3 linked regions of the Drosophila melanogaster genome follow. The protein of the gene in region 1 interacts with the protein of each later gene in a pairwise test. Each region holds a gene or a part of one and is shown in the gene's direction. Other genes may lie near its edges. The genes, in order: CG3907, CG14456 and Exo70.

The links.
Region 2: the proteins of CG3907 (region 1) and CG14456 interact in a two-hybrid assay, tested with the Drosophila melanogaster proteins (one large-scale study listed by BioGRID).
Region 3: the proteins of CG3907 (region 1) and Exo70 interact in a two-hybrid assay, tested with the Drosophila melanogaster proteins (one large-scale study listed by BioGRID).

Annotation. Positions count from the first base shown.
Region 1 is NT_033778.4:24,019,398-24,029,084, reverse strand, and holds CG3907 (uncharacterized protein), read left to right. Parts: upstream 1-6,786; 5' UTR 6,787-6,852; intron 6,853-6,945; exon of another isoform or gene 6,946-6,973; 5' UTR 6,974-7,103; coding exon 7,104-7,295; intron 7,296-7,543; coding exon 7,544-7,709; intron 7,710-7,765; coding exon 7,766-8,082; intron 8,083-8,144; coding exon 8,145-8,330; intron 8,331-8,387; coding exon 8,388-8,519; intron 8,520-8,575; coding exon 8,576-8,701; intron 8,702-8,763; coding exon 8,764-8,847; 3' UTR 8,848-9,187; downstream 9,188-9,687. Other genes in the region: HSPC300 (haematopoietic stem/progenitor cell protein 300), read left to right, coding at 351-471, 961-1,070; EbpIII (ejaculatory bulb protein III), read right to left, coding at 1,690-2,070; Ak2 (adenylate kinase 2), read right to left, coding at 3,438-3,653, 3,718-3,885, 3,949-4,185, 4,665-4,766; Xxylt (xyloside xylosyltransferase), read right to left, coding at 5,135-6,511; Rsph4a (radial spoke head protein 4a), read right to left, coding at 9,253-9,687.
Region 2 is NT_037436.4:22,682,547-22,690,886, forward strand, and holds CG14456 (uncharacterized protein), read left to right. Parts: upstream 1-4,675; 5' UTR 4,676-4,838; coding exon 4,839-4,904; intron 4,905-4,966; coding exon 4,967-5,281; intron 5,282-5,343; coding exon 5,344-5,604; 3' UTR 5,605-5,742; downstream 5,743-8,340. Other genes in the region: CG14455 (uncharacterized protein), read right to left, coding at 3,888-4,394, 4,460-4,537.
Region 3 is NT_037436.4:8,407,482-8,419,099, forward strand, and holds Exo70 (exocyst 70), read left to right. Parts: upstream 1-4,369; 5' UTR 4,370-4,479; coding exon 4,480-4,527; intron 4,528-4,565; exon of another isoform or gene 4,566-4,580; coding exon 4,581-4,746; exon of another isoform or gene 4,747-4,816; coding exon 4,817-5,328; exon of another isoform or gene 5,329-5,344; intron 5,345-5,530; exon of another isoform or gene 5,531-5,593; coding exon of another isoform or gene 5,594-6,247; exon of another isoform or gene 6,248-6,622; intron 6,623-6,736; coding exon 6,737-6,801; intron 6,802-6,863; coding exon 6,864-7,594; intron 7,595-7,653; coding exon 7,654-7,976; intron 7,977-8,045; coding exon 8,046-8,179; intron 8,180-8,234; coding exon 8,235-8,337; 3' UTR 8,338-8,429; downstream 8,430-11,618. Other genes in the region: Oseg1 (outer segment 1), read right to left, coding at 41-318, 375-531, 590-710, 772-972, 1,030-1,177, 1,231-1,505, 1,564-2,046, 2,108-3,562 and 2 more; mtrm (matrimony), read left to right, coding at 5,594-6,247; CG32354 (uncharacterized protein), read right to left, coding at 8,499-9,042, 9,104-9,301, 9,358-10,378. UniProt on the Drosophila melanogaster protein: Required for exocytosis. Thought to function in intracellular vesicle targeting and docking before SNARE complex formation.

The DNA of each region.
Region 1 (9,687 bases):
GATAAGTTTCTTTATATATTCGGCTGTGTCTACCCCAATACTTTTATTATTTACCTTTATTTTATTATTCATATTTACACGCTATAGTTGGCAGACAAAAATATTAAGTTATTTCTTTCATCGCACTTTCCCGCGTAATTTTTAAATAGTAGTGCTTAGGGAGTGTTGTAAAACACCATTAAAATTTCTTGTTGGAGTAAAAATTTGATCTCAATGAATCACGGTGAACACGGTAATTGTATGCCTATCGATAGTTCCAAATTTTTGACAATAATTGTTCCGGCCCAACCCATCTCTCATCTCTAGATAAACACAATTAAAACGAACAGAAACAATAGGAATAAATAAAGATGAGTGGGGCTCACAGAGAGGCGATCCAAAAGCAGATCCACCAGGACTGGGCGAACAGGGAGTATATCGAAGTGATAACTGCCAGCATAAAGAGAATCACCGACTTTCTGAACTCTTTCGGTAAGCAACCTGCATACGAAGCACCCACTTCCCTCTGACGCATGTGTGTGTGCGCGTGTTTATTATCACTTCCTTTGTAGGTGTGGGTGAACGCATAAGTAATATTACTAACAAATATTCATCAGTGACAATGACTTTATTTACTCAAGTCTTAAGTCTATAGAAACAAACAGTGGTTTGTGCGTGGTGGCATATATGTATAGCAATATATGTATCTACATACATATGGAAATGTATGTATGTAACATCATCGGAGGGCTCAAAACGAAAATTCGGCTTTATCTCTATCCGAATTAGTCACCTAAATGAATTGGATAAGCTTTTTCGGTTGCTCTATGCATAATTTAAGATACGCTAAATACTGTGATAAATGATAAGCCAAAGAGTGCGAGGTAGTTGGGTTGCTAAAATATCCCATATCCTTAATAGGGTTTATGTACACTGTTGGCATTATAAACTGTATCATCGTGTGCTATCATATCCTTTCAGATATGTCCTGTCGCTCCCGTCTGGCGGTGCTGAACGAAAAACTAACGATCCTGGAGCGGCGCATAGACTATCTGGAGGCGTGCGTCGCCCAGGGTGAAACATTAACGTAAACGCTGCCCACAACCTTATACTAAGCTTTGTACATTTATAAGTAATTAAAATACTGATTTAATATTTAATATCTTTTGATTCGCAATGTGAATTGCCGTGACATTAATAATTCGCTGTACATTGTTTGTTTGTTCTTTGAAGGAAGGTTTTCACGGCTGAGTTACTTGCGGCCATCGGATTCGATTCATTGCCCCTTTTAAGAATAATATAAGTAATAGCTCAGAACCAAGACAAGCACGCGATGTTTTTGCCAACTAACCGTAGCTGCCTTTATTGTCAATGTTAATGCAAATCGCCCGCCATATATAAGCCGCTTATTAGGGTCTAGTCGTAATCTTGTGAATGTTTTTTCTAAGACCTTAATTGTGCTTAGATTAATCATCGTTCTAGTAGCAGGAGGCTAGACTTAAGTGCTACATTTGTCATAGTTAATTTATATACTCTCTGAAGCCTGGCAAATCCCCCTTCGATAACGATATAATACTCGGCAGGTGTATGGTAAAAAAACAAATCTCTTTATTCCGAGCACGATCGTAGAAATAATTTTGATGATCAGATATAAGCGTAGACCTAATTAACAGTGCATATAACCAAGAGTTTCCGGAACCGGGATCCGCCTTACACCTTGATTCCCGAGGCCTCGGCGGTGGCGCGGTAGCGCTTGATGTAGATCTCATCGGGATCGTACTTGGCCTGCAGCTGCTTCCACTCCTCGGGCTTGTTTTCGATGATGTAGCGAATGACCTTGTCGGTGTTCTGGCGCTGCTTCTCGCTGCACTTGCTGCACTCCGTCTTCAGGGCGTCCGGCAGGGACTTCTTGAGCTCCCGGCCCTCCGGGGTGCACTTTCCGTTGTCCACCAGGCACTTGAAGTAGTTTCCGAAGAGGCGGTCCGACTTCAGGATCTCGTCGACGTCGATGTTGTCGTACTTGGTGGTGTACTTATCCTCGGCGGCGACCAGCACCAGTCCAAGGACGACAAGCGCAAGTATCATCTTCATCTTGGAGTTTTCTGCGGGCGAATTGGGGTAAGTATGTTTGTACGATTAATCAGCACTTTTGTGGCTTAGTGGGTCTGTTGGTCGGGCAACCAGTTTTGTGCGCAGGGGATTTTACTGGGCAATGGAAAAATATTTTTACTAGCCATCGAGCGCGACTGCATTCGCAAAATGTATCTGTGGACTTATGGGATTTGTATGCAAATTAATGCACAGCCAGGCAGGCCACTTTGTATGCGTATCTGAAACACATTCGCTGTCTGAAAAGATGTCACTGTTTATACACAATGAAACTGGTTGCCCGTCTGGCTGCGTCCATGAGTGTGTGGACTACTACCAGCCACCAGTCGACCAGCCGAGCCGATCGGCTCCAAAAACTATAAACGGTGCGGTGGTCTTACAATGGGGCTCGACTTGTGGGGCGACTCGGAGCGAATAGATGTGAAGCAATTCAGCTGCTGGAACTAACTGAGAAATGTTTCTATGAAGTGGGCTTTTATACCTGGGCCCACTTTTTACCTGGGATTGAACTTCAAGTGTAATACACAACACAAACCGCGCGCTGTGAGCCTGTGTTCGAGCTCGGCTCGTATCCATACGGGATTGCACACACTTTAGACTTTGAAGCGAAAATCGCTATTGCTGAAAAGTCAACCCAGTGATTAGTCAATCGTCGTTATAAATTTATATAATATATGTGCGATAGTTATACACACTTAAATTGACATTAACATTAGGCAGGTGACGTCTGAGTACTAAACGGCGATCGAAAGTCGCTCTGCGAGAGATTCGCAGCCACGATGGACGGGCTAACTTGGCGATATGTTATTTGTTTACCAGATTTAACGATCTCATTAGCGATTTCCATTAGCAATTTCTCATTTGTTACACTTGAGACCCGTGCAACATGACCCTTTAATAGTCGCTTTAAAGTTGATTGCAATAATAAATAGTTCTCGGAACAATTAGTAGCTATCCATCAAACGCTAAAAACCTCGATTCGAAACTGAGTCAGCCGCATCATATTCCAGAAGCTTTCCGGAAAACAATTGTGTGGAAGTTTGAACTTGGCGTCGTCCATCCCTCATTCGAACGCAGCCCAGTTTAAAGCAGTCATGTCTCGTAAAATGTACTTGTTTCCTTCGATTTTTTTATTAAATTGTATTGTAGTTACAAATAGTGAAATGTAAAAAGTAACAAACACATACACTTTAGAAATCTGTACAAGGAAAGTAGTCGACCTGCAAAGGTAATTTCGTTTGTTCAGGATTTCCGGATGCAACTATAACTTTAGGCTTAAACGTTGTGTGTGTCTCGAAATAAATTGTCAGGAGGCAGTTATCAGTAGTTGATCATTGCGCAGGAACAAATCATAACTGGATCTGGGCAGGACGCTTGCGTTGGAATATAGAGTCGATGGTGGAGAAGACGTCGCTGGACTTCTTGGCGGCGTCCACCTTGAAGTGCAGACCCCTCAGGCCGTAGTAGTCGACCAGCGGCTTTGTCTGCTTGTGATATGCTTCCAGTCGCTTCTTCAGAGCCTCGGCGTTGTCATCGCTGCGACGGATTAGGGGCTCTCCAGTGACCTGCAAGTACACAAGGTCTGCTTTCATTTAGAGTTCTTGGATAGCGTCCTATAGAGATACTTACATCGTCCGTCATTGGCTTCTTTGGAGGGGCAAACTCTTCGTGATACGAACGCCCGCTGGCCTGGTGGATCAAGCGGCCAGTGATGCGCCTCACCAACAGACTGTCGTCGATGGCAAACTCGATGACAGCATCCAAGTTGGTTTTCCTCTTGTCCAGCAATGTGTCGAGCTGCAAAGTGCGTTTCGAACGGATTATAACCTAAAGTCCAAAGTGCTTCACACGTGTGGCTACCTTCTCAGCTTGAACGACAGTCCTGGGGAATCCGTCCAGGAGGAATCCATTCTTGCACTCGGGCTTGTCCAGGTTGGAGTCGATCATGTCCACGACCAGGTCGTCGGAGACCAGTTTGCCGGCATCCATGACCTTCTTCAACTCGGCTCCCAGCTTCGAACCGGATGAAATCTCCGCCCGCAGCATGTCGCCGGTCGACAGGTGGCACACGCAGAACTTCTCCTTCAGCAGGGGAGCCTGAAATGGGCATAATTAAAAACATTGATAAGTTTCAGTTAGAGCTAATCAATTAATCAATTTAGCACCATATCGGAAGGTAAGCAAGGTAACCAATCGGCTAGATAAGATGCATTTCTTGAGGCCAGGAATGTTCTGGTAGCCTTTTAATAGATGGTCTGCATAATACCCAATCGATTGCCTAAAGGTGTTCCACTTAATTCGCCACATCTCGCCAAGGCTTTGATTTGATTCAGGGTCAAGAGAAAGACACTGCTTGACGCATATGTACATACTTGGCACGTAGATACATACATATACATTTCCATGTACACATCGTCTTATATAACTTCACCAGTTTTAATTCTCTTCCAAGAGAATTAACGAGCTTCACCGATTATTTGCAAACAAAAACCGCGCACTTGAACACGTTGTATTTATTTATAGACTACATGGCGTCCGTGTCACAAAAAACACATCATTATGTAATTTTGACCCACCTGCGTTCCTTTGCCGGAACCCGGCGGCCCCAGGAGAATGGCGTTGATCCCGATGTTCTCAGGCTCATATCGCTCCACTGGTACTGCTGCATTCGGCGCCATCGTTAACTACGTATGCTCGACTGATTATTCGGGACTGCTCCTAATTCATAGCCAAACGGAGCCAGAAATGAAGGTTAAAGATAAGAAACAAGAGGCGAAATCATTCACACGAAACACCCTGTGCGGCATATTCCCACTCTGTTGCTTCTCGCCTATCGATAACATTCTTACATCGTTTTGATATTTTAAATGGTGATAGGTGTGGGCTGTCTTTTATCTTTAAATTTCATTTTTATATATCACCATTTATAATGGTCTATAAACTAAGATTAAATTCACCGTATATTACATAACGTTCCATTACAATAGTTATACCAAATAAAAATACCCTGCATTTAATTAATTTAATATTCCTATAACAATTTTATTTATTCTGGAATTCGCGTATTACAGTTGCCATGGTACATTTTAATATTGCCCTCGCACCGGAAATAAGCGTCGAATATCTGTGAGTATCCGTGATCCTTCCACCAGGTGCACAGCTGGCGGTTCCAAATGCAGTCCAGTCTGTAGATTAAGTTCGGGTACTCGTATCCCAGCAGGGTGAAGAAGTCCTGGTCGCCGAGGTGGCCCTTGAAGGAGTACTTGGCGACCAGGGTGTGCACCTCCGAGTGGGTCAGCTTCTCCAGGTAGGACTTTGAGTTACGGATGCGGTTTAGGAGCAGCAGGACCACGCCGGAGTTCAGGCCTGGATAGCCGTGGTGGACACGGCTATGTTGGTTGCCCCCTTCGTTGTTGATCGGATAGTAGGGATTCCCGAAACTGGTCTTCGGATAGCGCACGCGATAGCGGTAGAGGATGTGGCGGTAGACGGGGGTCAGTTCCGGTGCCAGTCCGTACAGCTGGTGCGGCAGAAAGTTGTCGAACTCATTGAACAGCAGTCGGACATCGGATCGGAAGACTATATCACAATCTAGCAGAATGGCTCTGTTTAGGCTCCTGTCGGCGATCCTGTGAAGGCCGAGGGACAGGAAAAAGAGGGAGTCGCTGTAGTACGAGTTCGGGGTTGAGCTGAAGTACGGGGACAACTTGGCGGCTATGTCTTGTATGATGCTGGAGCAGACCTTCACGTCGTATATGGTGTATATGACCGTCCGCCGGAACCGCCTGATCTGTCGCTGCAGGATCTCCAGCACCGAGGGCTGGCTCTCGCTGTCCGTGATCACGTGCAGATGCAGCTGGGCACTGGTGTGCTTCAGCAAGCTGTGGGCGAACAGGTCGAACTTAAGGTTCAAGTGGTAGTTCTCCCGCGTGTAGATGACGAATATGTTGTAGTCTGAGGACAGACCGTTCAAGTGCGAGCTCAGCTCCAGCTGGGTGGAGGAGTAGTTGAGCAGATAGTGCGTGGGCCTCAGCACCGGGGGAACTGACGGGGTCGTGGCCGGGATGTCGGGATACCTCGCCTCCTGCTTCTCCGCGTGCGAATGCTTGTTAAGCCGGCTCGAGAGGAAGGCCGAGAGGATGTTGCCGCGAACCAAGAGATGCGTGTTGGCGAAAACAATCAGAACGCACACACAAATAAATATTAATAAGAGAACTAGCTTCTTTTGCCACCTGCAACGCAGCAGGGTCCAAGCCCAACTCTTCGGCTTCTGGCGGATTGAGTTCCGCCGATTGATGATCAGGGTCACGTTCTCCTGATCCTCCAGCAGCTGCGATTTACACTTCATTCCGTACATATTTAGGTCCGCCGGAAACGTTTTGTGTTTCTGGCTGATTAAAGTCTTAAAGCTGTTCTTGGCCATTTCGAAATCAGCGGAGGAGTACCTATTGCAACAGTACGTCGGCGTCAACGAACATATTATGGGACATATGGAGGCCAACGTTAGAAAACACTAAACGGAAACTCTGAGCAGACGAGCAGAAGCGCACAGAACATTTTTGACGGCTATGAACTTAATTAAACTAGATCGATAAAGCGAGCACGGCGTAAAAATCAATGCAAGTCTTTTGGGGGCAGTGAGACCGTTATTACGAATCCGGAAATTACCAAACCTATCGAACGCCCCCACTTTTTGGGTCAATTTAATTGATCATTATCGGAGGATCCAAGTTAAATGTACTTCAAAAGCAGCTCATTTAAAAGGTATATTTAGCATAGGCAGCCAATTTAATTTCCAAAATAACTTTCATCGCTTATCGATAACCAGCGATTAGTCTTAATCACCGTAATCTGAAATCATGCGCAGAAGTATCTTTTTTATCAGTATAAGTACATGTTATGGTTGCTCCAGCATTACAAAAGCAACTGGGCTACGCTGAGAAAATGTAATAGCCCAGCCCTGCGACCGATTGCAAGAATTCCACTGGAGACCAGAGTTTCTAGAAGACGACCCCATGGACTGCCACCATCGCATTGAAGTGCCCCTGCGGGCCGGAAAGAAAATGAAGAAGCGTCGGGAGCTGGACGCCCTGATAGCCTCCCAGTCGTCCTCGGGCAAGAGAGCCAACCGGAGAGTCCCCGGAGGCACCAACTCCCAGGACAAGCTGCTCTCCGTCTCGACCGACGACCCTGAGGATTACGCATGGGTAAGGTATTTCTACGCTACTCTGCTGCTTACATCGCTACTCACATACTCGATCAAGTACAAGGTTAGCTGTATTTGTATCTATGTATCTGAACCTGCCCAATTGAACTTTCCCAGCTAACGAGTATCTGAAGATACACATTCATTGGGAATTTATACGCACATACATGTATGTACATGCTTATATGTGCCTCCCACCATGCAAAGAGTGAAATATTTAGCAACCCAATAATATTGCGTTCTTTTCAGACAAATGTCGCTGGCAGTCGCCGCAGCCATCGAAAAATAGCCTATTTCCGCATGTGCGGCCCGCTTCTATTCGGCATTATGGGCATTCTGATTGTGGGAATTTTGTACTGGCTCTACTTCGATCTGCGCCAGCAACTCACCGACTATCGCCAGAAGATCGAGGAGGGTATGGTGTACACAGTCTGCTACGCACAGTGCGTCCTTAATTATGTAATCTTTCAGTGTCTGCCATGAGCAAGAACTTCCCGGACACCCTGCAAAGATGGCACGAGACTTCGTCCTACCTGCTGAAGAACCAAACAGCCGTCATTTCGGAAATAAATGATTTGCAAAAATCAATGGAGAGCCTGCGGAACAACTTTAGCAACCTGGAGGCGGCCGTGGCAGCGCAAAGAAACCACGGCAAGGACGAGAAGTTGGTGGCTGATTTCGGGGCCAAGATAGAAGCCGTCGCCACCGACATAGAGGCCATCAAGGAGCACTACAATAAGTACACCGAGGTGCAGAAAACACTGCAGGCCGAAACGGAAGCCTTAAAGGTAGGTCTCGCTATCAGTATACGCTGAGTATCAACACAGTAATGAACATCTTGCTCCTGCAGCTCAATCTCTCACAGCTACCCACGATTCAGGCTAACGCTTTACCCGCAAACTTATCGGATGATATTGCTGCGCTGAACAAAACCACTTTTAATTCATTTAAACTACTGGCCAACGATCTGAAGAATGTGAATAATACCCTAAGTCAAACAACGAAAATCCTCAGCGAGGAAATATCTCTGCACAAGGTAATCTCTTCCAAATTCTGCTGCGTTATCAGCTCTAATTTGCTTTATTTATTGCAGACGAAAATAGACGACCTGCTGGATCGATCTGAAAACATTACGTCCCATGTGGCCACAATAAGTAACAGCTGGCCGGAATATAAACAGAAAGTGACCAGTTTCGATGAATCTTTGGAGAGAATTGAGAAAGAGGTAGGTCGATCGAACATGATTACAGGTAGAGATGTACTAAACTTGATAAACTTCAGATAACGCTGGCAAACAACAAGAACAATATGCTGGCCGCTTCCGTGGATCAGCTAAAGAACTTTTGCATTCAGAGCATGGGCAATATTAAAGCACCCAGCAGCGAAGACGGATCCGTAGTCCCCAAGGTATAAATTATAATATAGGTATGATTGCTTATCTTCTAAAGAGTTTCAACATTCGATTACAGCCCGAAGCGATTGCCGTCAAGCAGGAAGTCATAAAGCCGTCTGCAAATGCTACAGTGAAGCTTCAGGAATCCTTGAAGCTGTAAGCTGCTGCATTGCTGCGTTGTATTACCAAATTTGTTCGATTCCGTATTTAGCCATTAAGACCTCATGGATTCCATGTGTCCGAGTTACAGCCAACGATAACTAAATTACAATTACATTTATTGCACACGAAAACTGCAATGTACATATGGTTCGAAGAGCTATTTAACTTAATGACAATTTATAGGATGACGATGTGCACGTGTGATTTCAGTTAAGCAGTTAAGTTTAGAAAGAGTAAATGTACATATGGGGGGGGCGAAGTAAGTGTAAGTCCAACATTATTCACTTTAGATACACGATATGTATTTTATTTGCAAGTAATAAATCAAACTAAAGCTCACAAAGCCAATACATTTTATTGCAGAACTTGAATGAGAACATAAAAACAAGCAATTTCATTTAACTCAGTCGTCGTCATACTGATCGGCGAACTCGTCATCATCGTAGTCTTCGATGTCTTCGGCCACATACTCGGCCTTCTGCTGCTTCCGGAGGAGCCAAGCCTTGTAAGCTTCCTCCTCCTCGACAGTCGGATCGTTGGCCTCGACGAAGTCCTCTGGGTTGTGGGGGAACTCCTCCTGCACCATCGGCAAGTGCTTGAAGGGAATATTGCGGGCGTAGTACTTGTGGCCCCAGCCCAAGTATATCGACTCGCAGGTCTTCTCAAAGATGAACGTGTAGGCGCCTGGCCAGACGTTCGACTGCATCACGAGCATTCGCTCCTTCTGATTCGTGTACTTGCTGGTCATGCGGGCGAGCCAGGAAACTGGCACCTCGGGGTTCATGTCATTGGCACAGGAGGAGAGGATACTGGGACCCAGTTCGGGCTGATTGAAGCC
Region 2 (8,340 bases), on another chromosome or scaffold:
TTGGAGCCCGTTTAACTAGACCCACCGCTTTAATGCTAATCTCGTATAAATAAACAACATTTCGGCCCAATCGATGGCCAGGCCATTAGACCAATTGCTGGTCATTGTCATTTGGATCGCAACGGATTTGAATGAACAGGGCGAAGGGGCGAACCCCCCGCTAGCTCCATCACCATTCCGCCGAGTGTTTGGCTTATTTGCGAAAATTTGTTGACACTCAGACCTCCCCAATCGCAAACGGAACAAGCAATCAAGGAGCGGCAGCAGCTTAGCAGACTTCCGCCAAGGATAACAGGAGACGCCAAAGGATGCCGGCGGCAGTCGCATCGCTTTACAAGATTTTATTTACACCTTCTGCGAAAATGTTTACACTTCAACAGGCAGCGGCAATAAGAAGAGGAAGCCGACTGCCCTGCCACACCCACCGCTCCCCGGCGAAATGCTGAAATGAGCAATATGTAAACCTCCAGGACGCCAACGGCAGATCCCCAAACAATTGAAAGTGGAAATCCACCTGGCAAAAAATTACTCAAACAGAAAGCTAAAAAAAAACTCATAAAAACAGGGAGAATACTAACGGCCCTTGAATAATTCCAGGGTGTAAGAGCGATGCGAACTAGGACACGGAAGAGGAGCCATAAGGAACGTTGTCATGGCGTAAATTTATGTAAAAATTTGTAGCAATTGCAATAAGTTCGTCCACGCCAACCCCATCCCCATTCCTCATCACCATTGCTGGCGGCTCTTAGGAGCATAAAATTTGCGTGCAAGACCAAATAAATTCTTTCGATTTCAGGCAGTTTTTATGCGCATTTCAAGTGTGGACCGAGGAGTCGTGGTGCCTCAAGGGACTCGCCGCGGGGACTCGCAGCTGAGTTTGTAAGCCCAGAGATATCACTTTATTTTAAATGCATTAAGAACTTTGGCAAAAACTGATTACGAAATTCGCTCAGCCTTTGTTTGCCGAGCCCTTCATGATGTCTGAACCAGAGCCAGAGATGCCAGGACTGTGGAAATTAACTCTCAGCTGGCAAATGCCTCGGAGTGCAAATATTGAGCAACGCCAAAGGTTTTTGACTGGCACTACCCCAAGGATTCGCAAAGAAGCGGAGGATTGTATATGATTCACTTGGGACACTGTTGCCCACTGTAGTCGCCTGTTATTTTTGGCAATCTGTTTGTTTGTCGATTGTCTGTCAGTTATGCTACTTATGCCTCATCCTTTATTCTATTCCCAGCAAAAGTCCCTCGGCTCGGCCTGATTTAATAAGAATCCTTTTCGCCCCGTTCCTCAGAATTAACATAATTTTATGAGTGGATTTTCATAGTTGAACAATCTTCAGCCCGCGGCATTTGCGAAAACTTTAAATTTCAATTCACTTAAGCTCTTGTGGGGGGGAGAAACTTTCGCCAGGCCATTGAACTCAGGACGGTCCCAATTTTCGCCATAGGTCTCTGAATATACAAATATACAATTCAAAGACCCTGAGAGACTTCAAATATAGTTTAACACCATTTCCCCTTTCTTTTTGCCGACAGTGATTACCGCCCGAGGGCGTCATTAGCATTCCATTCGAGTGCGGTGCAAAAGTTGTGATTTCGATTGCAGATCCACCGACCAGCGAATCCGAACAGACAGGGCTAACCCACAGAACTGAGACCGGATTCACTCAATTTCGTGGTTAAGGTCTTGGGTATTGACCATATTACGATGTATGAGGCGTCGCTGCACGAAAGAGTTATGATCTAATCGAGATAGGAGACCCGCTGTAAATCAGCAGGCTATCAGCAGGTCATCGATCCCACCTAATCATAACTGGGTTCTGTCTTTCATAATAGCCAAGAATCGATAATTGCGCCAGCGAAGTATTCGCCACTCACGTGCAAATCATCAATATTCCCTCCTTCTTGCGATCGATTTGCATATCCAACCCACTTTTCCAGTCCCCAATTCGCGTTCCTTTCTGGTACAATATATGCGCCGGTTATTCCAGAAGAACTCTATTTAAATGCAATTTGGAAACGGATTTCAAACGCCAATGGCAATAGAATCGGCTTTTATTTTGGAACCTGATTGGAATTTGAGATTTGGGACTACTAAAGCTCCACCCAGCGCGCTCTTTAAGCCCCAGTCCCCGAGAACCCAAGTCAATATGCGACAATGTGACAATAATAATTGATAACCTTAAAGCCGAAAAAGCACGAACTCGCTTCCAATTCATTTGGTGAACAAGCGTCGAAGGTGAAGCGAACCAAATAAATTCAATAAAAGTCACTCAAATGTCGATAATTGAAATGCGTACACAAGACCAGCCACAGCAAATGCAGAAAATAAGCACCTCAACTGAGCAGGACAGCAAAAAATTAACATTTTTATATAACAAATTTAATTTGGACAATTTGACCGAATCGAAAATTGCATAAATTTCATTTGCAGTCATCCGTTGGCGGAAGGTCGCCAGGTGGGAAGTGGGGTAAGAGGTGGAAATGGAATGGAAAGTGGGAAATGGAAGATTTCGACGGCAAACGGTGCTTGCCAACTCGATTCGCTTTTATGGACCCTAAAGCGAGGCGAACGGCCCAATGAAGATCCATACCAACCTGCGAGTTGTTGGACTTAGTGCCGAAAGTATCCATTATTCAAAGTAACGCTCTGACGTGTACTGGTCGCGCAATTAAGTTCGCGCCCCGAAATTATGTACTGAACGGGAAGCTCAAAGGAGCCGCTCTCTTCTAAGTTATTGCACTTTCCTACTGAAGATTTATAGCTCGATGCGAGCTCGCTTAGATATATGGTGTGGGTAGAAATTTTTGCTTATTTCCCTCTCATCGAGTGACTCACGGGACTCAACGCGACTTTAGCTGCTGTCAACGACTCTCGTCGCGAGCGATGTGCAGTGCATCCTTAATTACAGATTCGGCGCGAAGGGATGGGATGGGATGCGGGATGCCAGGAGATGCCCCTTCTAGGACTGTGCTTCGCGAAAAATGTTAAACATTCGCAAGTTTTTATTATCGCGCTCAAACTTGTGGGAAAGTTCCTTCCCCTGCAGTCGTACGCCTTCTTACGTGGCCTGTTTGGGTAATTCGAGATAGTTAAACAAGGGCCAACAATGCGGCTGTGCCGCATTCAGGGGAAAATACCTAAATGAGGAACAGAACACTTGATTCAGACTGACTTTCAACTCAAAATTTAGTTTTACCTAACGTTAAAACGGTATCACAGCAATTGAGGAAATCCACTTTACAAACGTAAGCCATAAATAAGATTCAATTATATTAAATGCATTAGCAAGTTAAATTAAAATTAATAGTATATGTGTAAAGATTTATGTAATTATCACGTTTCCATTTTAAGTGAATATTCATGATTTTAATATTATCCCAATTTTATTAGACCAGTCTAGTCTAGTGCTGGAAGATAAAGACCCGTATTTCTTTCTCTGTGTGAATGTGAATACCTTATCTACGACTATCGCCCCTACTGGTATCAGCCCAATCATCTCGTCGGAATATGCATTTGCATGGAGCTTCTCTGCGCTCCACACACACCCTAAATCATTGTCGTCTGTTGCTCATCAGCAGCCCCTCCGACGCCATTATCGTCGTCATCAATTGCGCTGCTGGTGGCTGCCTGCAGACAGCTTGTCACCGTCGGGTAAACATGCGAATTTCGCAGTCGAGCAGGCAAACACGTGACAAGCGGCTAAGGAGGATTGCTGGGGCGGTTAGATGGGAGGACAAGACGAGGCGACAATGACGACGTCAATGGTGCGACAAAAGGCAGTTTGAATACTAAAACGAGGCAGTGTTGGACGCGCATCAAAACTTTATTGGATCTCCTGCGGGCAGGAGATACCATGAGGAACATGCGAGGTATATGTATCTTAGCCGAGACTGAACCGCTTCAGGTTGTCGAAGCCTTTGGACTTGTCGATGCGGCCGAAGATGGTCGACCGTACGATCATGCCGCCCTTGTCCGTCGAAATTTTCATGCCGAAGCGGAACTTAGCCTCCGGCAGGAAGCTGGGCAGCATCTCCTCGTCCACATTGTAGTTGGTTAGGCTGTAGGTGCCGCTCCGGATTGGGCACTCCTTGAAGAGGGTGCCGTGCTTGAGAAGGTCCTCGTAGATCGCGCGCACCAGCGGATCCGAGTTGCGCTGCTTCATCAGCTTGCAGAAGTTGAGCGTACGGTTTATCAGGGTAGAGTAGTTGCCCTTGTCCGTCTCCAAACCAAAGTCTACCACCAGCTGAACGTCCTCTATGTCCTGGTGCGTCTTTATATCGATGCTCAGATTTGACTCGCCCGAATCGTTTTGCAGATCGACCTTAAGGTCCAGGAACTTGTCGTTGGCCTCAAAGTCAATGCTCGTGAGGATGACCTTGAAAGAGCGCTGGCGAAGGCAATAAATCAGAACTGTGCCCATGTCCCGCACCAGCCCGATCCACCCCAACTTACCCACGCTCCAGTCAAGGGCATGAGAGCCACCAAAATGAAGGCCACGGCACAGCAGCTTCGGATGACCTCCTTACGCATCTTGCTCCAACTATCCATTGAGGCTGGCTCTTATTCAATTAGTCAGTTTTTATATGTATGCAATTAGAATTAGTCAGGCCCCACTGGGCGACAAAGCGCTCCGAACATTAGGCCCAGCCACGTTGTCGTGGTGAATTAAGTCAACTAAGTGGGTGGACTTTGGAAAAGCATTCAGCTGTTTCGAAACGTAGTCAATTTCCGATAAGATCGAACTGAAAATCGCTCAGCCCATTTGCATATAAATAGTGCCGTCGCCGGACAAAACCAGACAGTGAAGACAGCTTACTGCAGTCGTTCCATAATGTTGCTGTATACCGCGGTCCTGGTTCCCGTCCTGATGGCCATGTGCCATGGCTCCCTGGCCGAGGTGAGAGTTCGCAGAGTAGCGCCTTGCCACTGAACTAATCCCTCAGCTGGCTTCTATTCCAGAAAATGATGAGACCCAAGTTCAAGGACATCAAGTTCTGGAGCGACGAGAAGTTCGTCAGCCACAAGGTGGTCTACGACAACAGCGACCCGCATCTGAACTTCTCCATGGAGGTGCACCAGGAGCTGCACGACGTAGACATCCACGTCGAGGTGCGCATCACCAACAAGCAGGACCCGTACTACAACACTAATCTAAACACCACGCTGAATGTCTGCCGCATCCTGGGCTTCGCCAACAAGTCACCGGTGGGGCGCTTCGTGCACGGATTCATCCGCGAGTTCGGCAACATCGTCGAAACCTGCCCAATCGCCAAGGTGAGTGGAGCACTCTTGTCAGGGTTCCAGCTGACCCTCCCCCACTCTCGGTCACGTTCTAGGGCCGATACCATTGGCACCGCATTCATTTAAAACGCAAATTACAGGGCTCCTACTTCATCAACAAGTTCTGGTGGCCAGAGGACCCAACCACCGCCATGCTGCCCGAGCTGGAGTTCGAGATCATCTGGCAGGCCATGCACGTGGACGCCAGCAAGAAGCGCACGCTGATAATGAACGACCATTTCGGTGGGGACTTCGTCGTCCAGGACGTCAATAATCTGAAGCCCGGCATCTTCGCAATGCTGCCCAAAATCGCCTAGAAGCCCCGCTAGGCTCGGCCCTGCCCCGGAATGAGCTACCCATCTGAGTCGCGTGTCCCAATGGTATTTACTTAATGTTTGTCAGTGTCACTTCGTGTTATCCAGATAGCAAGCAAATAAAGCTGCCGCAGAAAGAGCAAACCAATGATTTTGTTTAAAGGGTCGCATGATTTTTTAATTACCGAATTGTTAAATTCGGGAAGAAAGAGCGATAACTACATAACTTGAAATTAAAAAGTTTCCAACGTCTATAGTTTTCATGTCGTATCCAAATTGCAACATTCCCTTTTTATCTACTTCGTTTTAAAAGAATACTGTTGATAACTATTAAACGACTTTAAAGTTATACTAAGAATATTTATTATCTTGCACTATATTACATTGTAATTATTTAATTGAAAGAAGACATTTTTGTTTATAACTTCTTTTCAATACTGAAAGAAGCGTTTAAAGTGCTTATGAAGCTCATAGAATTTGCCCATTGTCAGTTTCCTGCAAAACCATCATCAATGACAATAAATTTTTTTATATTATTCACGTGCTGCTCTCGAATTTCGACACTCGGCGGGATTCGTGTTTTTGAACCATTCCCAAATTGAATTAAAATGGTACGGATTCGAGAGAAACAGGAGGCCCACAACATCAAATTATTATTCAATATAGTCGCAACGAAATGTTTGTGACTTGTGCCCTGCCCATTGTGATCCGACAATGACAGTTTGCGAATTTTAAACCGCTTTTAGCTATTTTTTGCCCAAATGAAGGTGCCACTTGGTATGATTTATGCGAGTTTGAGTTTGCCGAGCTTTGGATTTGGTTATTTGGTCATTTGTTGATTGGCATATTGATGCAGTGTGGCTGTTATCGAGGAAGCCATAAAACGACAGTAACAATGAGGAATGCAAAAAAGTTCTCGGCGCCTCTGCCTCGTTAACCGACTCGATGATTCCCCTCAATAAAATGTTCAATTTCAATTACCGGGTATAATAGGCCCGGAATGATAATACAAATCTCTGGACAAATCTGCCCCAAACAACTTTTATCAATTACCAGACCAGAAGCCACCAAAAAGAGGTGTAAAAGGTAAATGTCTTTGTGCTAAGCTCCCTACCCTGGACCATCCTCGACCTAATCCGCACAATGCATTTGTTTTCACTTTGTTGAACTCGTGAAACTTTATTCCTGCCAAGAAAAAGTTCAGGGGTCAAGCCAGCGGCCATTTAAGCTCCATTAGACAGCCACACAAAGCGACATAACGCCCCAGAGCCCAAGGGGGACCCCGGTGTAAGGAAATTCATTGTCGAAGTCGCCCAGCTGTGCCTCCATCCTCCGCTACGAGGACCCTAAAGGGTTCGTCCTTATCTGATTACAGTCCAGTAAATCTTGAAAAATTGTCATTCAATGCTAACGTTTTGAAAACATTCATCAATGGTTCGGCTGCTACTCAGCCCAAACAATGCGAATTTCTCTAACGCGACTTTGAGGTTGCTGCACTGTTAAACAATCATTTTTTCAGCTGTGTGGCATGGAGCCCTAAAAGCCGATTTCACAAATTTTTTTCTCAGTGAACGACAGAGCCGCACATATGCCAGCGTGGCCAACAGACCAGCCGAGAAGCACTTCAGCCAGCCAGTCAAATCTTCCCATTTGGCTAATAAATCCTTGAGCGGCTTATGGAGCAACGTCTGCGCATAAATATTATGGCTGGCAACTGGTCAAGAGGGGGGACGATGTCGAAGTTCGAGGAATGGCACCAAGGATCCGCCTGCACTCACTTCTCACTCGAATACGTCTCGCCTGCGCCCCACATCCCACCATTTCAAAGTAACTTCCCTATGACAATTGAGCTGGGCATTCCGGACTCGCCTCGAACGTGTTAAAGAATACCCTGTCGAGGCGGGAATATCCGTTCACAGAGTATCACGACCACTTGTCTTTGTCTTTGCCAACGAAAATACCGCAAAGGCACATTAAGTACCAATTAATAGGACTCCAATAAATTAAAGAACAGTTATCGTTGATAATTGAAATAAAATACAAGTGTGTAGAGCCATATGAAAGTAATGCTTGTTACTTAGTAGAGGTGTCTATCTTATCTTTTAAGGGGGTCTGATAATATAGCGAGCAGTGTATTGAAACCTCGCCTTGTTTTTACAAGTACTCCCTGTGATCCCAACCGGAATTCTTGAGCTGGCATTGGATTTCGGTTGACTGTCGTGTTGGTATGCCTGCTGTGGATTTCTCGGCCCTCTGCTATGGTTGTTGCTGATTTCTTAAGTATACTCGCTGCCCTAAAAGGATATGCAAATTGTTTGAATAGTAAAGGACATGCTAAACAATTTCAGAGCCTCGAGTCTCTAGTTGAACAAACAAAAAAGGAAACTAAGCTAAACAAAACATTTCTCTTTCCCAGCTGGCCGAATATTTTTTTAGCTTCGTTGCCGTTTGGTGGAGTTTTCAATTGGTCACAACATCGCAGCTTGTTGTTGCGCATTAAGTTGTTGCTACAGGAACAGAGGACCTTCACATAGCTTGCAGCTGAGGAAATGTTTTAGCATTTCACACTGGCCTGGTATAAATCACAGATCCCGATGTTATTAGGCATCCAATTCCCGTTTCCAATGTCCACGACATGAAACTGTTGCCTCTGCTGTAGGTTTATTGAATTCGTTGATAATGCCAAGGGCAGTGTGGTGGTACACTGCGGAGGGAGAGCTTTCCTTTTCGGGACAATAA
Region 3 (11,618 bases), on another chromosome or scaffold:
TAATATACGAAATGAAATGATGTGGTTTGTATAACCTTACCAGCAGACATTGAGGACAATAGGTAACCTGAAGATCGGGTAATATATTACGATAGTACACATTCCGCACATTCTTTCCCCTCCGTTTAAGAATCAGCACATGATTGGGATCTATGGCACGCAGGCCATTGCGATCCAAGCTCAAAGGCAATGCACTGGCCACATCCTCGTTAAATGGATCCGAATCCTCGGCGTGCTTTGCAGGAGCCAGCAGCAAGCGCTCCGCCTCGGCATCAGAGATATCCACTTCTGGATAAAATTGTACTAGGGGTAGAATTTCTAAAAAGAGGCATCATCATTATCAGATATCTAAGCTAATAGACAAAATTCCATACCGAAGGAAACGAAAGAGAAAATATAATCCTGCCGGCAAGTGGGACAGCAATTGCTATTCAAATGTTGACTGTAGTTGGAGCACTTGTAACATAGTGGCAAAAGCTCCTCCGGATCATTGAAGCCACTTTTGCAAGCCTTGCTATTTAGAAAATTTAGCTGAAAAGGTACTTCATAAGCATATCATTTGGATGATTAATGTTTTCACATCACTCACATCAATCTGCTCTTGGACTCCAGCTGGTGGCTTCAACGACTGCAGTCTCTTGTTAATAAGAAGGCATAACTTGTTGGCCTGCAAAAACTTAGCTTGCTTGGCCAGAGTGAAGAGAACCGAACTGGAAGATAGGATTTCTGTCGATTCACGTTCTACTTTTGCGATTTGAGCTCTTAACTTACAACATGCTGACACCTTTGGGGACACCTTTGTGCTCCACTTCGTTTAGTATAAAGCGGCTTACGTTAAATAGGCTAACTGGGGAATGTGTGGTGAATGGTTCTTTCATATATGAGTATATGACACTGTAGGCGTAATAAACCTTGGCAACACGTAAATGATTTTTGTACTCCGTAAGGTGGTGATCAACAGGATTTTGTTCTCTATAAAACAAAAGTTTTAGAAATTAAGAAGTGCACTGATTGTAATATTTCACTTACTCCTTGGCGTGATATACATCTAAATGTTGCTTGGCCAGCAGCCAATAAAAGTAGCTCGCATCCAAGTAGCGCTCCTCCACGATGGCCGTATTGCTCAGTTGCTTAAGCAAACGATTGGCTTCCTTGGTGCGTCCTGCCTTTATGTAGGCTGAAAAGTAAAACTTTTATATTAAATAAACATAACAAAAGTTATAAACTCACCCTGATGCGCCTCTATAAACTGATCCGTTTCGGCCAGCCATTGCCCATGCTGGTAGTGCACCGTGGGCAGAAGTTCCGGCAGCGATTCCGCCAAACGAAATGCTTCCGGCCAGTCGCGTACCTCGATGTGCAGTTGCACCACCTGGGCTTCATCGCCCAGCTTCTTGAAAATCTCAGCAGCCAGGGGAAGAGCTTTGAGGGTCTTTAGGTTCTGGGCCACCGATTCCAGGGAATCGCGTTCCGTAAGACTCAGTCGTCGTCCGATATCGTAAAGCCTGTAAGAAGTTAGGTTTATTATAAACGATATGTGTGCAATTTTCTTGATTTCCTTACACATCGGCCCATCCTTGCTCTGCGACAATATCAATGGCCTTCTGATTTTCGCCAGCTGAAAGCAATAGTTCCGCAGCAGCTCGTGGCTCCTTAACCGAATATGCCCATTCCGCTCGCTTGCGTACCAGTTCCTTCTTCTCCTGGTCGGTGCCGTCCTTAATATACTCCTGGGCTAAATCGAACATACGTAGATCTGTGTACATTTCAAGTGCTCTTGAGGACTGGCCGCATTTGAGAAATAGACGAGCTGCCTCCTTGAACTTGCCGGCAAAGGCGCAATTCTCTGCGAGAAGTACCTCCTTAGGAACCGCCGATCGCTGTTGCTGATCTCGTAGCTCACCGATGAGTTTGAGCCACGGAAGATTCCTCACCTTGACGTAGGCATCGCGAGCGATATTTATGTGCAGTGCCTCCAGAGCGGATTGAGCTAATCCCTCCCAGTCGCTGGTGGTCACGCCCAGGCAGGCGACCTGGTAGGCTTCGCTGAAATAAAATATAACATCTTTTATTAGGAGATTCCAAGCAGAATTGGAATATGTCTTACTCAAACAATCCAGCTTCGATGAACTGCCACATGGTGGAACCGAGAGCCAAAGGCGTATTGTGCATAATATTTCCGCGCAGGCAGAAGGCAGTGGCTCCGCAAAGCCCCACCACCACGCCATGCATGTTCTGTGGTGCCCTCGGCGGCAGATTCCCCACGCGAACGCTTAATCCGCCTGTTGTGTGGGTATAGCAGAGCATCGAATCCAGGTGCGTGTTCCAAGTGACGCTGTTTACACCCGTATCCTGGTACAAAATTGTATCGTTGATTACGTCCCGCACAACCAAGCGACCCACATCGTCCACAACTGCGATCTTGCTGCGCTTCGAATTGATATCCAGGCAGCGAACCGCTGACACCGCAGTGGTGATGAGCAGTGGTAGTGAGTTGTTGAGAAAGATTCGGAACACTTGGCCGTTCTTCAAGCCCACCATTAGTCCTTCTCTTCCCACGGGGCCACCGGTGACTTTGATGTATCTTATGAACGAGTCCATGATCCACTCGCGCTGCAGGACACCCATGAAATCCAGACATTGGAGACGCTTCTCCTGGCACAGGACAATGTGACGGCCACAAACAACCAGCAAGCTGCAGTCGAACTTTTGCTGGATCTTCTCGCGCACTTTATAGTGCATGGGTTGATCCTCTCCAGAGCTCAGCTCATAGAGAACCACACGTTCCGGCAACTGAACCGCCAGTCGATTCCGATAAATGGCTATTTTCTGAACTAAATCTCGACACTTGATGCGCACCTTTTGGCCAGAGATCAGGTGCTGAATGATCACGTCGCACATGTTTTCCCGGAAGGCATAGCGCTCGCGGTAGAGGGCATGCACGGTACTAGACGCAATGTTGAAGCAGGCCAGGGTTCCATCTTGACACCCAATGGTGTAGGATTGACCATTGGGATGTAGGGCAACTGTCCAGATCCAGGTGTCAAAGGTATCGCCCAACGTACCCAGCCGAATGCCCTCCCTGGTGAAGAAGTGTAGACCTCCAGTGCAGCCGCCCACCAGGCAGAACTCCCCATTGGGAAAGTACTGCAGGCACAAGGGATCAAAGCCCAGGGTTCGCTCCTTGCCAATCATCTGGCCGCTCAGAGTGTGAAAGGATAGCGTTTGGCTCCAGTCCACCACACCGATGGTGTCCACACTGCCAGGACCGCTGGCCGGACAACATTGGACACTGAAGACGTTGCTGTTGGGCCCACCAGGCCGATCGATTCTCCCCTTCTCCTCGCCCAACTTGTTCCTAATGGATATGGTGCCATTGGCCAGGCCCAGGATCAGGTACTGTCCATCATTGGTCCACGAGCAGCCATTGACACGCGCGGATATCTTGTACTTTTGCACCGCCTTCTGATCAGCCGACCAAAAGGCAAAATCCGACAAGGAGCACGAGGCCAGGTGGTGCGAAACAGGATTGAAGCTCATGCACTGTATGGAGTCACCGTGCCTATGAATGTAAATATATTTTTATATTTATATAAAAAACTAGAATTTATTGCAAGTGTGCTGAGAACTCACGAATACTTGAGCAGTCCCTCAAGCTGAGGTGACCACACGATGACCATTTTATCGGAGGCTCCGCTGGCGAACCGCTTGCCATCCCGCGAGTAGGCCACACAATTGACCGTATCCTTGTGCGCCTTCAAGGTGTTCAGCAAGGAGCCATCGTTTGGATCGTAGATGAGCAACCGATCCCCCGCAGCCACCACCAATTGGCTGCCATCGGGTGCGTAGCACACATTGTGGACACTGGAAAATTGGGTTTTGCAAATACCGTTATGGCGTTATAGCAAGCAACAGGTTGTTGTTTTCCACGAATGAGAAAGCTTTACCTGATCTCATTGTCTTTGCTATTGGGAAACTCTATGCGTTCCAGCCACTTGAGAACACCCCTCATTGTTGCAGAAGTCGAATTGGCTAATCCTGCATAGTTGGTAGAAATTCCTAAATGCAGGTGCGTTGTTTACACACAGATTCCATGGCAACCAACCACAACAAAAGTTGGCGTCTTGGCTGGAGATGGCAGTTTGGCGGGTTTTTCCGTTAGTTTTGGCTTTTAAAACTAGGACTTGACTAATAAACTAGTACTAGTAGTAAAAACAATTTATTTAAAACATAGCCTCATTATCGTTTACCTAATTGTCTAAGTGTACAATATTTAAAAAAAGTTTCTATTACTATCTGAAATGACCGTTATAATTTTTTTTTTCGTGCAAAGTAGTTGGCAACGCGGTAATTGACAGTATGACCAAAGCCAGTGTGCATAAATGCCTAGTTTCGTCAAAACAAAATAAAATAGAATTGTTTTTTATATCAGAACTATTGTTTGTTTTTAAAGGATTTTAGCTACATATACGCTTGAAAATGAACAATTTGGACAGTTCATTGCAGGCGCACAATAAATTGGAGAAGGTATGTCTAGTTGTCATGCTCAAAACCTCCATACTTACCCATTTTCCTCATAGGAAGCCACCAATTTAGCTCTGCTGAAAGATCGAGTGGATAAATACCATGATCTGTCCACGCAAATGTCCAGTATTCTAACAATCTTCGAGAAGCGCCTGGGAAACCTGGAGCAGACCATATTGCCCGTCTACCAGGAGACGGAGCAGCTCCAGAAACGGCAGCAGAGTATGAAAATAAACTCAATGGGATTTCAAAAAAAAAAAACTAATGTGTCACCGCCTCTTTTTTTTTTTAGATCTGGAAGCTACTCTCAATTGTCTGGAAAGCGTCCTGTCCCACTACGATGTCTCCCAAGAGGTCTGCCAGTTGATTCATCAAGGCCCGGTGGAGGGAAACATCTCGGTGTTCCTCGACGCACTAGCCAAACTGCGCGATGCCAACGATTACTTCCGGCACAACAATTCCCAGAGCGTGGAGCTGGAGAATGTCACCAGTTTGTTTAACACCGGCTGCGAAGGCCTGAGTCAGCACTATAGTATGCTCCTCAAGAAGCACAGTGCTCCGCTGAAGCCGGTGGAGTTGCTGGATCTTATCTACATAGAGGACGATTCCAGCGATGAATACACCTCATTCCGGCAGCTTTCGCAAACGACGCGCGAGGAGCTGTACACCATATCGCACTGGTTGGAGCAAAATTTAAGGGAGTACACAAACATCTACGCGACGGAACGGGGCGAAGTGGTTCTCCGATCGCTGCAGCTGCTCAAGGATCACCAAAAGAGCAACAGTTGGGGTCACGAGGCTCTGGTGAGTAAACAGTTCTTTCATATTCTAACTAGTATTAATACATATATATTATGTGGAGAAAAATAGTACGTAGTAGAATATGAATAGCGATGTGTACGATGATGAGCATATGTATGCTTTTCCCATCTCTGATCGTTTCGGTTAACGGTGTCTGTTCGAAAAAGCTTGTGCATGTAAGCATTACATGTCCAATTCGATGACCGCCATTTGCCAGCTTGAATTCGCAAAGAACGCATCATTTTCTGTGTCACAGTATCTAAAAAAAATGGAGAATTCTCGCACGCCCACGAACAAGACCAAAATTACGCTTAATCGCACGCCAACGCTAAAGGAGCGCAGATGGAACACCCTGAAGGTGAACACCTCCAACGTGCGATGCTCTACTCCGATCTTTGGCAACTTCCGTTCGCCCAATCTCTCGCCCATCGAGAATATGGGCACGAAGGGGAAGAGTCCAGTGTCGCCCATGCGGTTCGCTACCTTCAAGAAAGTGCCAACGAAGGTGCATCCCAAGCAGCAGCAGCAGCAGCAGCATCAGCACTGCCATCGCACTCAGCTTAAGCCCCCGCCATTCGTGCTGCCCAAGCCGCAGGAGGAGATCATCGAGCCGGAGCGAGAAATAAAGAGCTGCAGCAGCCCGGATACCTGTTCGGATGACTCGAATATGGAGACCTCACTGGCCTTGGAGTCGCGTCGTCGTTCCATCAAAGCATCGAACCACTCGTACGTGGTTAACCATGCCGCCAATGTGGAACAGATTCTCATGCACATGGGCCTGGAGAACTATGTGACCAATTTCGAAGAGGCTCACATCGATCTGGTGGAACTGGCATCCTTGGAGCGTGCTGATCTTGTTAAAATCGGCCTAAATACCGATGAGGATTGCAACCGTATCATGGATGTGCTCCACACTCTTTAAGTGAATCGCTGGCATGTCCATCTTTTATCATACACTAAGATTTTAAAATGTTTTATGTGAAGAGAAACTTTGTGATTTTAATATATGTGGATAATTAAGTAGGTATTCTAGAATTATTGTAAAAGACCTGGTGTCTTAAAGCTCGTCGTTTTTAGCCTTAAATAATAAACTCTAGTACACTTTAAGAATCTATGTAATTCCTAAAATGTTGCTCCGAAGCTCATTTACAAATTTAAATTTATTTCGTAAGCTAGCAAATTGCATAATACTTTTTGTCAAAAAAAAAAAAAAAAATTGGGGTATAAACGCTTTTGTAAAACACACATTTTTAAAATTAATAAACTCATAAGAATCAAATGCATATTAAAAGGTTACAAAAATAAGAGTTTTTAATTTGCTACCATTTTAGTACCTTAATTATTCCGAAGAAACATTAATGCAATGGCAATTAACAATTCAAATTAATGTTTTTAAAATGTTTTCTTGCAGAGACCGCGACACAGTGGACGCCAAACGGAGCCAAAAAAGACAACCTCCGCTCGTCTTCAGCAAATGTGAGAAATATTACTTAATTTCCAAGTTTTCGTATATGATATATTTAATTTATTCTGCATAGATTCGAAAAGAAGGCGAACAAGTTATATTTACGCGCGACGCAGACGATTGAGCAGTCCACAGGGTTCTCCATTAAGAAGGCATCATCGCACAGCGACCACCTGACCTCCGAGGATTTGATGGATGGCGATCAGGAACTGGACAAGTATCTGGTCATGTTGCTGGGACTGCAGCGGTTACTTAACTGGGAGCGAGCCATCATGATCGACATTATTCCCCAGTCGAAACACAACGAGGTATTCGCCACCTTGGCCTATAATGCCATCGATCTGGTGGTTAAGGACGCTGAGGCCATTACGCAACGCATCCTGCGCTGCATTTCCCGCAAGGAGTGGACCTCGGCGTTGGGAATATTCTCCGCCCTAAAGCGGGTTATACTGCTGCAGCCGGATATTGACCGCACATACGATCCTGCGCAAAGGGAACAGTTGAAAAAAGTACTAAAAAAGTTGCAGCACACCGGTGCCAAGGCATTGGAGCATTTCCTGGACGTAGTCAAGGGCGAATCGAGCACCAATATTGTGGGCCAAAGCAATGTTCCAAAGGATGCCACCGTGCACGAGCTGACCTCCAATACGATCTGGTTTATTGAGCACTTGTACGATCATTTCGATGTTATTGGTTCCATTTTGGCACAGGATGTCCTGTACTCCACGCAATTGGACACCATTTTGATGAAGAAGGCGCTGCCAGTCGAGGAACGCAATAAGGCGCTCTTGGCGATTTACATAAGTGAGTGGCAACAAGATCAATTGTGCGAACATTTTTAAACCACTATCTATATTTTGCAGAGAAAGCTTTGGCCGAACTGAATCTTTCCATAATGAACAAGTGCGAGCAGTACAATGACCAGGCCACCAAGCACCTCTTCCGACTAAATAACATTCACTATATCCTCAAGTCGCTGCAACGCTCCAATCTTATTGATTTGGTCACCTTGGCTGAGCCTGAGTGCGAACATAGCTACATGGAGATGATACGTGAACTGAAGGCTAGCTATCAAAAGACCTGGTCCAAGATGCTGGTCGGCATCTATTCCTTGGATGAACTGCCCAAACCAGTGGCCGGCAAGGTCAAGGATAAGGATCGCAGTGTGCTCAAAGAGAGATTTTCTGTAGGTTTTTATTTTTAAAATAAGCTAAACTTTCTTGATTTAAAAAAAAACATCCTCTATAATTTCCAGAACTTCAATAAGGACTTTGAGGAGGCATGCAAAATCCAGCGGGGCATCTCCATACCCGATGTGATCCTGCGAGAAGGCATCAAACGTGATAATGTGGAGCACATACTGCCCATCTACAATAGATTCTACGAAATGTAAGCGTATATAGGGTTTATCAGCTTATACCTAACCATCTTGTATCATTTTTAGTTACTCTGGAGTGCATTTTAGTAAGAATCCCGACAAATACGTCAAGTACAGACAGCACGAGATCAACGCTATGCTGAGCAAGCTCTTTGATGATTCGGCTTAGATGTTAAATGCAGGCCAGGCTTTAAGTGCATTCCTTGTAAGTTCGTTGGGGGGCTTTAATTCAAACTCAATAAATATCGTTTTAAAAAAAGTACAATACAAGACTATAGCCTACAAATATTAAATGCCAAGTGAAATGAAGACGCCACGCATACATACGTCCTAGTAAAGGAAGTTAGTGGATGGTGCTTCGGGGCGGCCACAGGCGCCGTAGTAGTTGACGTTCACCGTCTGGTTCGCCCTGCAGTTTTCGATCTCCAGGAAGCAGTCGTTCAGATACGTTTTATTGTCGCTGCCGCAAACAGGCTCGAATTCCCTGGGACAGATGCGGGCACATCCTTTAAGCTGAAAGGCGGCAAGGCAGCGCTTCAGTGGCACCACGAAAACATGCTTGCCACAATTCTCCTTGCGCATGTGGCACTCGGACTTGTACAAGTTGTTGTCCGATCCGCAGACGAAACTTGGCGGCTGGGCATCACAATCCGATTCGCAGTCGGCGGTTAAAGCGCAATTCTTTAGCGAAACGGGCACCACACGCAGATCGCAAGTGCGCCGCTTGAACTCGCACATGGAGGCGAAGGTGTTGCCATCCGAGCCGCACACTGGCTGCTGTTCCAGATCCGCCCGAGTACAGGCATCCCCGCAATCCTTGGTGGGCGAATTGAGATCCGTGCAGGGACCAATGTGGGCCAGATTCACGCCGCGTCTGAAAAGAAGTTGAAGAGCTAGATCCATGTCCTATGGATGATCCTATCATGGATACTCACAGGCAGGTGGCGTGGGCCAGTTCGCACTCATTGTTATAAGTCTTGGCGTCCGTGCCGCAGAGCTTGTCATTTCGCTTCGAGCTGAAGATGGAACCGAACAAGCTATTGAAGTCCTTGCAAGGAGGCAGCTGTTTGCAGCGGGTCAGTCGATTCTTGCACTTGTCCATGCTCACTTTTTGAATGGACTTGCGCTGTGGACTGAAAGATAAAATTTTAGTCTGGTTATATTCCATTTTTATCTCATCCAAACTCACCCGCAATTGAGCATTTTGAGTTCACACAGCGAAGAGTATATGTTGCCATCACTGCCGCACACGTACTGCGACGAGGAATCCGTATCCGATTTGGGACACTCCGTGGGACAGGCATCGGAGGCTCCGTGCCTCTCCTGCGACATGCAGTAGGATAAGGGAACCTCAAAGACGTGCTTGCCGCAATTGGAAGAGCGCATCTTGCACGGACTGGCATACAGTCTGCCATCTGATCCGCAAGTGGGCCTCGCCACACGCCAGCAGGATTCCCTGCACATTCGTGTGGACTGACAGTGCTTCCGGCTGGTTTTCACCACACCCTGTCCACACGTCTTCAGCTTCATCTCGCACGTGGAGTTGTATACATTGCCATCCGATGAGCAAACTGGTCCATCCTTCGGCGCACTGTTGCAGTCAACCGGACAGGACTCACGCACGGCACTCGTGTTGCTGCAGGGACCCACATGCGATAGCTTCACTGCAGCCAATCCCACGCGACACGATTGCACCCTCAGCATGCAGCGATTCAGATAGGTCCTTCCGTCTGTACCACACACTGGATCCTTCTCCGTGCTGCAGCGGTGCTTGCAGTCCGAACCCTTCGACCTCTCGCAGCCATCCCGCACGTCCTTGATCAGCGACACTCCACTGCGGGAGCAAGTCTTCTTGCGCAGCTCGCAGATATTCGCATAGATCAGACCATCGCTGCCGCACACGGGCTCAGCTCCCACGGTGATGCTCGGTGGACAGGATCGAGGACAGTTGCCGGTGCCGGTGTTACTAGCCCTATTCCGTCTGCCCATCTGTGACAGCTGCTGTTGCTCCGTCTCCTCGCGCAGCAGCGACTCCAAGGCAGCTGCCGCCGCTCCGGGTGCCTGCATCAATGTGGACGACAGCTCCGGTCGCGCATCCTGACGATAGTTGATCAGCAATGAGTTGGGCGCCGCATCTGCACTGCGATAGCGGATAACTGGCGCCTGCGCCGGCAGCCGGATAATCTTGATGGGTGAGTCTGTCACAGCGCCTGTGGATGGAAATGATTTTAGAATTTAATTGGTTTCTATCTAGAAACTTAATTCTAAACATTTAAAGCAAGACAGTAGTTCCTCCTCCTCTGTTATATGAACTTATTAAACAAAGCTTAGTAATAATTACTACTTCCCCGCACGTAATGACCGGTTGTCCATCGAATTTTCCCAGGGTAACTCTGTTTCGAGACCGCCAAATGAAACTTTCCCTTCGCATTTTCCACAGCTCTTTAGCGGTGGCATGCGGAAGAGTCAACTGTGGGCATACAAATGTCAGATTAGCCGCACGATCATAGGGCATTTTGCGCAGTTGTGACCCACTGTGTCCATGCCGCCACCCGCCGACACTCCCCCGCATCCGAGACCAGTCTCTGATTCTGGAGTGATCGCATGACCGACTCAAGTAACCAGCCATTAACTTGAATAATTCTTTCCCTTTTTACTAACGGCAACGGCAAATGTTACCCGTCTTCAAATCTCGATTCCAAGTAAAACGACACAATGGCATTTATGTTTTGGCTGTGGTTTGAGCACAGCTAATACACTCGCTTCGTTCATACGGACTATCAGCGACCTCCATCTATAATTGTTCATGCTAATCCCCTCCAGAAATCGTAAGCTTAATCTGTGCTAAAAACTGCAAGTGAAATTTCCACACTAATTGCCTCCGGCGCCGAACATTTCTGTTGTCTTTGGTCGGATGTGGAACTGCTGGTTTAGTTTGGGTTGATTTGTCCATTTTTCTTATTTTTTTTTTTTTTTTTGTTTGCAAAGAAAGCTGTGAGAGCCGCCTCCGGAGGAAGCACTCAACTTAGTTAAAGATATACGAACGTAAATAGACATACCCAACAGCAGTAGAAAATCTATTAGCGCTCTTTGAGGCTGCCACACGATGGTTTGGCTGCGATAATTGAACCCACGTTCATTATTCCAATTTGCTGCTGCCGGCCATAAAGATGGAAATTTCAACATCCAGCCAGCCAGCCAGTCAGTCAGTCGAGCAGACGCATTCTCAGCTTAATGGACTCGGATGCTTCTCTGGCTGGATGCGAGTCCGAATCTGAATCGGAGGCATCGGCATCCAGAGGAGCCATTAAGCGCGGAGAAAATTAAGCGGCGTTAGGAATTAATGCACATGTAAACGATCCGCTGGAATGGTCAGAGGCAAAAGCCGAGACCACAGCCAATCTCATTCAGCATTGCAGCAATGCGACCTCAACCGCCCCACCCACTCTC